2 separate regions of the Mus musculus genome follow, and region 2 is reported to be linked to region 1. The links are microRNA targets in miRTarBase. Many come from high-throughput screens and were not tested one by one. Region 1 holds a microRNA gene; the other region holds the end of a gene's coding sequence.

The links. The annotated mature microRNA mmu-miR-302d-3p reads UAAGUGCUUCCAUGUUUGAGUGU and lies in region 1 at 2,344-2,366, shown strand. An mRNA with a match to its seed (bases 2 to 7 or 8) in the 3' UTR can be bound and repressed. Matches are read on the target gene's strand: a 7mer-m8 pairs with bases 2 to 8, a 7mer-A1 pairs with bases 2 to 7 and ends in A, and an 8mer does both.
Region 2: the mRNA of Zfp568 is a reported target of mmu-miR-302d-3p. Seed matches in the 3' UTR shown: 7mer-m8 at 2,070-2,076.

Annotation. Positions count from the first base shown.
Region 1 is chr3:127,543,322-127,548,321 of GRCm38, forward strand. Mir302d (microRNA 302d) reads left to right here and starts at 2,303; the gene lies at 2,303-2,368. It overlaps Larp7 (La ribonucleoprotein domain family, member 7), which reads right to left. Exons shown (of 13, transcript NM_138593.2): 2 at 4,041-4,225; 3 at 3,769-3,869; 4 at 3,600-3,683; 5 at 3,333-3,497; 6 at 3,155-3,248; 7 at 2,726-3,082; 8 at 2,505-2,649; 9 at 833-957. The coding sequence starts at 4,224. It overlaps Gm51018 (predicted gene, 51018), which reads left to right and starts at 1,768. Exons shown (of 2, transcript NR_146435.1): 1 at 1,768-1,825; 2 at 3,313-3,582. Mir302b (microRNA 302b) reads left to right here and starts at 1,907; the gene lies at 1,907-1,980. It also overlaps Mir302c, Mir302a and Mir367.
Region 2 is chr7:30,022,961-30,027,960 of GRCm38, forward strand. Zfp568 (zinc finger protein 568) reads left to right here. Exons shown (of 10, transcript NM_001167872.1): 10 at 1-5,000. The coding sequence ends at 687. Among named protein-coding and RNA genes, the nearest start is that of Zfp14, 26 kb to the right of the region's middle.

The sequences.
Region 1 (5,000 bases):
ACATGGCACAAAAGGCATTATACCTCTAAACCAAAGAATAAAGCCTTAATAAAGATGTATGCCTATATGAACATAAGACTATTCAAAGTATTCTATTCTTTTTTTTTTTTTTTTTTGGTTTTTCGGGACAGGGTTTCTCTGTATAGCCCTGGCTGTCCTGGAACTCACTTTGTAGACCAGGCTGGCCTTGAACTCAGAAATCCGCCTGCCTCTGTCTCCCCAGTGCTGGGATCAAAGGCATGAGCCACCACTGCCTGGCTTCAACAATTTCATTTTTTAAAAAATTTGTTTATTTATTTTATTTATGAGGACGCTGCAGCTGTCTTCAGACACTCCAGGATAGGGTATCAGATCCCACCATGTGGTTGCTAGGACTTGAACTCAGGACCTCTGGAAGAGCAGTCAGTGTGCTTAACCACTGAGCCATTTCTCCAGCCACAAAGTATACTGTTCAAATATGAGAATTTGTATAATTTGCAAGAACTTAAAACCTTTACTAATATTACAATGAACGAGAGTAGTGCTCTAATATGCTCCTGCTTGCTGAACATCATCCACTAAGCCTGCAGTCTTTATTTCTCTCTCCAGGCACTCACAAGTGAGCTCGCAGGTAAGTAGAGAAGAATAAACAGACTATTAAAACCTAGTGTGTAATACAAAACTTCACATTTTTACTTTTCTTAAAACATTTTGTTTTTGGAAATGGTTCAGCTTAAAACTGAGGAAGCCACTCTATCACTGCAATAAAACTGCCCCTGAAACCATTCATAGACTAAAGCCCACTCTTCCATTACATGAGCGTCACCCTCTCCGTTCCCCACTGCACACTTACTAGGCGCTTTACAGTCTGTTTCCATTTCTGATTCCAATTTGATTTGAGATATTGTTTTTTTTAGAGAAGCCATGCTAGCTTTTTGCAGTGCCAAATACTCTTTCTTCAAATCCATCCATTCAGTCCTGAAAAACAAAAATTGAGCCATTACAGTGATAAGACGACCCAACTAGAAATCTGAAGTTGATCTAAACACAATGTTCATAGGAACTGCAAGTCTTTCTGACTTTTCTTTCTTTTAAGGCATATGTTTACATTATTTGTTAAGCCATTTGTTAAAGCTACCTAGCAAACACACAAAGGAAGTTTCTTTGTCTTAACAGGCAAGGAAAATGCTTGAGTTTCCTGGTTGCTTCTAATATTTAATTGTAAAATCACTTTTGAGTCACTTCTATTAAGTAAAATCACTAAATCAGGCAACCTGGAGAAAAAGTAAGAGACTAAAACTTAAAGATTTCTCAAATTGCTTCCAATTTGAGAGCTAACATTCCTTAGGATTTACTTGAATCAAAAGGAATTTCTAAGAAGAAAAAAACACCCCATGGAAGCAATTTATTTATTTACATACATTTAACATGTAGATGTATCTTCAAACAGCTAGGGCTCCTCCAGAGAAGCACAATGCATCTCCTGGCTCTGTGGGAGCGCTCATTGTTACCCTAATCTGTGCCATCAAACGGGCAGATAGGAGATTTTTTTTAAAGAGGAGGATATCTTGTGGTAATGGTTTTAGCAGTTAACATTGACATCTGTTTACTTCAAAAAAGGAAAAAAAAAAAAAAAATCCAGACCTACCCAGGTCCCCAGGACCTACTTTCCCCAGAGCTGATACATTAAAATAACAAAGGGTCTTGTAATGATTCTCAGAGATAGAAAGCCAAAAGGAACTCAGGAGTTAGGAGTAGTATAAATACAAGTGGTCTAAAGTCGGCGTCTTTCACCCTCCGAGGACAGAACAGGACTCTTTGGGAGGCGGTCACGAAGGTAAAGGAGGTAAAGCTTATGTCTGTAACCGGGTCACTTTACTTTCCTGTGGGTTTGCTCTTCTGTTTTAACTAGTTGCCTTGTGGGTGGGTTCCCTTCAACTTTAACATGGGAATGCTTTCTGTCTCATCGAAGAGTAAGTGCTTCCATGTTTTAGTAGAAGTGAATTCAAGAAACTCTGGAATAAGAAAGCTAGCCTTTTAATTCAGAGTCTGATGGGAGTCCCCTCTGCTTTAACATGGGGTTACCTGCTGTGTTAAACAAAAGCAAGTGCTTCCATGTTTCAGTGGGGGTGTCTTAAACTGTTCAACATTTTCTCTAAGATGCTGTAGGTTAAGGGAGTTATTGACTGGGCTTCCCACCACTTAAACGTGGTTGTACTTGCTTTAGACCTAAGAAAGTAAGTGCTTCCATGTTTTGGTGATGGTATGTTTTCCTTTATATTCATGCCTTTGTAAAGACCACTCAAGTCTGCTTAAGGGGCCTCCTTTACTTTAACATGGAGGCACTTGCTGTGCATTTAAAAATAAGTGCTTCCATGTTTGAGTGTGGTGGCTCCTACTTAATCTTCATTGTGCTGCATATAGATAGACCAAGGCCGTCACTGTTGCTAACATGCAACTCTGTTGAATAGAAATTGGAATTGCACTTTAGCAATGGTGATGGACCTGTGTCAGTGGCCACTTACTTGGACAGCACTCTCAATGGTATAACCTCCTCGCCCATCTTATGTCTCTCCTTGTGTTTCTTCTTATGCTTCCTCTTCACCTTTGAGAGTGAGTCACCTTTTCTGTCTGTCTCCTTCTCCTCCTCAGTAGAGCAGAATTCTAAGTCTAGAAAAAAGATTTCCGTAAGTCCGTTGTTGTGGTTAAACTGGTTAAAACATTTGTAACCCTACTGCCACGGTACCTCTGCTCTCCTTGGAGACCTCGGAAGCTGCTTGGCCGACGCCATCCTTCTGAGCCCTTTTCTTAGCTTTTGGCCTTGGGGGGAGGCAGTCTTCGTCCTCGGCGCTGCACCTCTCCCTCTTCCCTGCCCTGGCTTCAGGTAAGCTGGATGCTTCCACCTTGTCCCGCTTCTTCTTTTTCTTTGCAGGTTGCTTTGGAGCTTCCGGGGTTTCTGCTTCGGAGCCCTCAGAGGCCGTCCTTGGTCTCTTCGTGGCTTTACACACGCCCGAGCTGCTGCTGTCCACGGCCGACTCTTTGGCCTGCACACTCTCTTCCTTCTTTATTCTGCCTTTTTTCTTTTTCTTCTTTTTCTTCTCTTCTGTAACAAGATTTTATTATTTACAGTCATAATAGTTTATTGTTTACTTGGCCACTCTAAGTAAGCACTCACCTGCTACTCGTAAGGAAGGGATGGGCTTGTTTTTCACTGTCTTGGGAAATATACCAGGCTTTCTAGGTGCTTCTTCTGGTGGGTTGTTCAGAAACTGAAAAGATTGATTGCAGAATTTGTTACTCTTGTTAACCCTGTGCTTTTTCTTTACTTTTCAGGGTCCCACAGAAGTACGTACCTCAATGGCTTTTGCTGCTTGCTCTTTTGTTTCAAATTCCACAAAGGCAAATCCCTTAGGATCCCCAGTAGACTTGTAATGTGGAATACTTATGTAAACCACATTGCCACATTTCCCAAATACTCTCTCAATCCAGCTATGAGTAACATTTTTGGGGAGCAACTCCTGTAATAAATCATGGTATGAACATTTTAAAGTTCCTACATTTTTACCAATAAATGAATTATAAATAAATGAACTAGAATTAAAATTTGTGTCATTTCTTACCACATATACCGTGCGTTCCTCCTCGTCCTTTGGTCTCTCACCTAGGGGTTTTTTCCTCCTGATTCTGGTCCCTTCTAAGTCCAACTTTATGAGGGGGGAAAAAAAAAGGAAAGCTAAATAAAGTCAGTAGTTAATTGGATGTGGGTGACTTGAAATGTAAGTTTTTTACCTCTACAACAGATGAGCTTTTCAATGCTCTGGCTATTAGCTTCCCATCAGTTGTCAGCTTCTTCATTTTGTTAAAAGACACCAGGAGAGAAATGTCCACATCTAGTAAATAGGATAGTGGGATGTTAAACACTGGAATATATACATGTGTGCAAACAAGCACGAGTTCAACATGCAGTTGTGTGTCATGAACATATACAGTACTGAGCTCTCAGGAGGCTCTGGCCCCATATAAATGTGAGTTGGAAATTCCAACAAAGACAAAAAACTTACATCCATCTCTAGACTTTTCAATTTGCTCTCGCAGAAACTTGTCCTTGTGAAGGTTTGCATCTCCAAACCAGAAGTCCACCTGCTTAGCAATATCTGCAAGCACCTGTTTAACCCGGGAGCGCTTCTTTTTTTCTTCTTTTCTCTTAGTGCTTTCTTCCATAGTTTTTTGGTTTTCAGTTTCCATTCTGAGAGGGGAAAAAACAAAAATGCCAAACTGTAAAGTGCCTAAATGCCCCTGTCACCTGAACCTTCCTGCTGCAGGAATTCCTGCTGCAGGACGCCATCTCACTGACATCAGTAAGGATGTTTTTAAAGCTGGTCTGTCAGGCAAGTGCAAATTCTGTAGTAAATTCAAGTAGTAAAACCTCTACCTCAAAAGATGGCCTAGTCAGCCACCACTGGAAAGAGAGGCCCTTTGGACTTGTAAACTTTATATGCCCCAGTACAGGGGAACGCCAAGGCCAAAAAGGGGGAGTGGGTGGGTAGGGGATTGGGGGGGTGGGTATGGGGGACTTTTGGGATAGCATTGGAAATGTAAACGAGGAAAATACCTAATTAAAAAAAAGAGGAAAAAAAAACCCTCTACCTGATAATTACTAATTAAGTACATTGTAGCCCTATGGGGGGGGGGGGAGGGCTGGAGAGATGAACTGCTCCTGAGTTCAATTCCCAGCAACCACATGGTGCCTCACAACCATCTATAATCTGTAAGGGGATCTGCCGCCCTCTTCTGGCGTGTCTGAAGACAGCTACAGTGTACTTGTCTTTAAAAAATAGGTGAATACTGGATCTCATCTCAGGTTTTCAACTCACCGTATCCTTCCAGGCTTTCATTCCTACCATTTAAGCGGAACCCCAATGAGCTCAGTGTTTGCCTAATGCCAACAGTTACCTGACCTCTTCATCTGGCTTTAAGTTTGCCTTTTCTGGATCCTTCCAGAAAAGGGACACTTCCAACTG
Region 2 (5,000 bases), not on the chromosome of region 1:
GAGAAGCCTCACAAGTGTAAGGAGTGCGGGAAGGCCTTCCGCTACGACACACAGCTCAGCCTGCACCTGCTCACGCATGCTGGGGCACGGCGCTTTGAGTGTAAGGACTGTGACAAGGTGTATAGCTGTGCCTCCCAGCTCGCTCTCCACCAGATGTCACACACTGGGGAGAAGCCCCACAAGTGTAAGGAGTGTGGGAAAGGCTTCATCTCTGACTCACACCTTCTTCGCCATCAGAGTGTTCACACTGGCGAGACGCCCTATAAGTGTAAGGAGTGTGGCAAAGGCTTCCGTCGTGGTTCAGAACTTGCCCGGCATCAGAGAGCCCATTCTGGCGATAAACCCTACAAGTGTAAGGAATGTGGAAAGTCCTTCACTTGCACCACAGAGCTCTTTAGACATCAGAAAGTTCACACTGGTGATAGACCCCACAAATGTAAGGAGTGTGGGAAGGCCTTCATCCGAAGATCAGAGCTGACACATCATGAAAGAAGCCACAGCGGTGAGAAACCCTATGAGTGCAAAGAGTGTGGAAAGACCTTCGGCCGAGGCTCAGAGCTCAGTCGACACCAGAAAATCCACACCGGTGAGAAGCCCTATAAGTGCCAGCAATGTGGGAAGGCCTTTATTCGTGGCTCTCACCTTACCCAACATCAGAGGATTCATACAGGACGGAGGAGTGAATGAGTTGCCATCAGAAAATCCATACAGTTTAAAAACCCTGTGGTGGATAACAATGTGGGAAGACAACGAGATACAGGGTTTCTCATTGGTGCTAGAATTCATACTCAAAAGACCCGTTAGGTCCAGAAGTGATGGAACACGTGTTACAAGAAAGAAACCTTATAACTCCAGAAATTGGAGGGGGCTACTTGTTTCAGAATTTATCATAAGGCTTTTGTTGATGAAAAACTCTTAAGTTCCATGAATGTAAAGGAAGGAGGAATGCCTCTCAGTGGCCTGGAGCCAAACAAGCAGGCCTCGGGATTCATAGCAGGGACAAGCTGAGGAGGGCAGTGTGTGTGTCCGAGAGATTAGCAGTTGGAACCTTTCCACACCCACACCCGGGCCAGCCCTCCGAGGAGAGAAGTCAGTCGTTATACTGCATAATCTCTGTGATACCTCAGGCTGCACTTCTGCTAAAACACAGCACACTCGCCATTCATCCCACTCTACGCTCATGGAATGTTTGCTACTTTATAAAGCCATTTGGACTGCGGAGTGTGGAAAGGACATGCTAACTTTTTACATGTCCTCATGATTCAGGGCAGGTTATTTACCAACTATTCTTTTCTTCTGTGGGGTAGCAGTGTTAGCCCCGTGTTTCTAGTTACGCTTTGAGGTTGTGTGTAGATTGTGGAATAGCATCCAGCTAGTATCTAAAGTGTGCCAAGTGCAGCAGGCATGCTGTTCCACGCAATATGAGCATCTGAAGCCAAAGGTAGGAGGGAGGATCACAAGTTGAGGCTAGCTTGGAGACTCTCTAGTAAAACAAACAAACAAACAAAAATTATAACAAATATAGCTGCTTTCTTTGTTATTTTCATAATAGTGAACTTTTACATAAACTTTAACAGTCTTAAAGAGGAAAGCCTTATATGTCCAGTAACTGGAGGGACATCTTGCCTTGTCCCTTTGACTGTTACAGAATTCTTATGAAGAAAGACTTAAAGCTTTCGTTCTTAGTTTACCCTTCTGCTGGTCAGAAGCGTCAGAACTGGAATGTGGTGAGGTCAGTATGAGAAGGGGCTGGAGGAATTGCTAAAGCCTCTGAGTGAGGAGTGGTGCTACACACAGCCTGTAATCCCAGCCCTCGGGAGGGGAGCACAGGACAGGGATTCAAGTCCATCCTGGTCTACCTAGTTAGTTAGGGGGTAGCCTGGACAACATGTGTTGCAGTCTCAGAACTTTCATAAGCAAAAGCCATGCCATGGATCTGTGCACTAGAGAACTGGAAAACAGTAAAGCTTTAGCTAAGACCCAAGCCTCCATAGAGAGTGTTAAATGCCTATATAAAGACATCTATATCTAAAGGTCCAATAGGTGTGGTAGCGCATACCTTTTATCCCAGCACTTGGGAGGCAGAGGCAGGCAGATTTCTGAGTTCGAAGCCAGCTAGGGCTATATAGAGAAACCCTGTCTTGAAAAACCAAAAAAGAAATTTGTACACTGTGACTGAAACTATACTCTGAGAAAAATGACCTTCCCTTCATCTTTGTAAACAGTGGGGGTTGGAAGGTCTAGGACTCTGTATTTATTGTTTATACAGTACTGTTACAGTGCCTAGTCCTGGTAATTCCCAGTGAGTATTCTAAGTAACAGAAGAGCAAATAACTACTCAGCTCCAACAGAAAAGAAACTAACAAAATTCAACTTGGCAAAACTAAACCTTGGAATAGGTGAGACGCACACAGTGTTGTACAGGAGATGAGGCTCTTATGAAACAAGGCTTGAATGAGCAGAGCATAGGTTCTACCTGTCGACAGATGTTAGCCATGCTCCTGCAGTGTTATGGCCCTGTGATTGGTTCTGGCTGTGCCCTTGGTCTCATGTGTGACTGACTGGGCAGTAGACCATCATGGGCTTAGTAACAAGATCCAGGGGCATGGTCTTCCCGGCTGCAGGGAGCACATCTGTGCCACCAGGTGGTGCCTGCTTTCTGAGGCTGAGACTGCCATAGAACACACATTGTCACCGACATTGTGGTGTCATGGAACCATGACCTCGCCTTCTCCTGGACCTACAGAATAAGAAATGCAGACACTGAAAATTAATACTCAACTCTTTACAGTATACATAACACTGAGAAATTTAGCATTTAAAAATATTTTTACTCAGATGTATTCAGCTTCAGGAACATATTTTATGTTTGTATTCTGCCTTTTATAGTATATCTGACAATGAAAAGCATTATTTTCCAAATTATTTTCTTAGCCATATTATTGAAATATATATTCAACTTCAATTTAGTAAGATGTAGTATATTTTCTTAGAGTATTTGATAGTGTGTTTTTATATTCTGCTTTTATAGTGTATCTTAAATCCTAGAAAAGTATTTTCCTGAATGAAGTTAGAGCCAAGGAGAAGCTGCTTAAGGAACTACACTCGTTCCCCTAACACTGAGCCACTTGACAGCTGAGACACCTTCTACCTCTTCAATGTGGAAAAGGGCGGCAGCATCTAAAGTCACGTCGGTTAGTTGCCAGTCCACGGCCTTAGAGGACTTTGTGATTACAGCAGCGTGTAGTATCAGCAGCCCAGTAATTGAGCGGTGTGGTGCTTTGTGCAAAGGACTTTGGTTGAAGTGCTAATGAGTGAGTGAGAGAGGACTCTGCAGTCACTGGAGACTAGCAGAGCCTGCTGTGAAGGTCCTTGTCCTTCCTCTTGGTCTGCTCTCTCCTGGAGCTCATCTGCCCCGCCCTGCCCATCATCTCAATGAGGAGGGAAAGCTGCTAATTACTAAACAGGCTCCGGCAGAGCAGTTGTGACAGAGGTCAGGCAGCATGTGGGCATGGGTGCAACTTGTGTGGAGGCCAGGCCAGCGGTCAGGCTAAGGGGTCCTGCCTCAGGAGCCTTTGGCTTCAGTTTTCTGATGCAGGGTCTCACAGGAGCTGGGATTTACCAATTAGGCTCAGCTAACTGGCCAGTGAACCCCAGGGATCCACTTGCCTGTCTCCGTAGCACTGAATTAAACGCAGGTGCACACATCACCTGGCTTTATTTTCGTGTGGGTTTTGGGGGTGTTTGGAGGTCAGGCCCTCGGCTTGCACAGCAGGTGCCTTACTGACTGGTCCAGCATCCCACTGGCCAAAGACTTTTTAAAAGGCAGAAATGATAACTGAGTTTTAATCTGCACTGGTATATTAATAAACCTATATAGAAATTTTAACTATTCTTCTAAGAGGAGAACTTGCACATTTTATAGGAATTAAATAAATAGAAGTTTTTTAGAGGGTGCTTTTAGTACTGATTTCAGACTTGGAAGGATAGCTTTTTAATGTTCTGCTCCTATATACATATTTGTTAGACTTGACGGTCCTCTGACGAGTGTATGCATCAGGATGCACCTCAAACCAAAAATATCCTACAGGGGTTTATTTAGAGAATGACATGTGTACACTGTTAAGTGCTGATAGTGGATGCTGCAATTCCGCTCTCTGGTTGAGATGCACACGCAAGCTTAGACATCTTGGTAACGGGTTGGGTGAGGAAGAGTGTATTGAGTGGGATTGTGCGCACACAGGGATGCAGGCTCCTTTCCTCACGTGGTAATGTCCTAAGGGGGGTGTTCTCGTCACTACTCACCGCTCTAACGATCTCACCATAGACAAGCCATGTGTGTGCAGCCTCTTCTTCCCAGCAAATGTTAGCTTCACCATCAGCAATGTGAGTTCGGGACACAAGCATTACCTCAGGTTGCTGCCTGTTTCTATAGGGCAGCTACTTTCCTGCCTTAGCATAGTAGAATTAAAATGTACTTGGTGCTTTATTGTTTCCATGTGGAGCTCACCGCCATCTCAGCAGGAACCAGTGTGTGTTTCTCAACTGTGTTAGCCAGGGCTGAAAATGTGCCTTCTGTTTGCACTTCCTCGACTGCTAGGGAGGTGGAGCATCTCCCTGGCCTGCAGGTCATTTGAGCTTTGTTTCTGTGAATTGTACATTGCTATCCGTCTCACTTTGTAGCACACCTAGGAGATCATATTACACATGGGCAATTTGTTGTCTTCATCTAGAATATGTCATTTGCCCTTTTTCTGTCAAAATACTTAGCCAGTGTTGTTTTATGAAGGGCCAGACCGAGTATTTCAGGTTGGGCTTTTATGCAGCCTTTGCTGCGTAGAAGCCTCCTGTATACGCCAGTGGTCCTCAGCCACTTCTGCCACATCCCCAGGAGGCATTTGCCAATGTCCACAGGCATTTTTTTGTCACTTTAAAATGACTGCTGCTTATGTCTAGTGGGCAGAGGCCAGAGAGGCTTCTCAGTGTCCTGGGGTGCACAG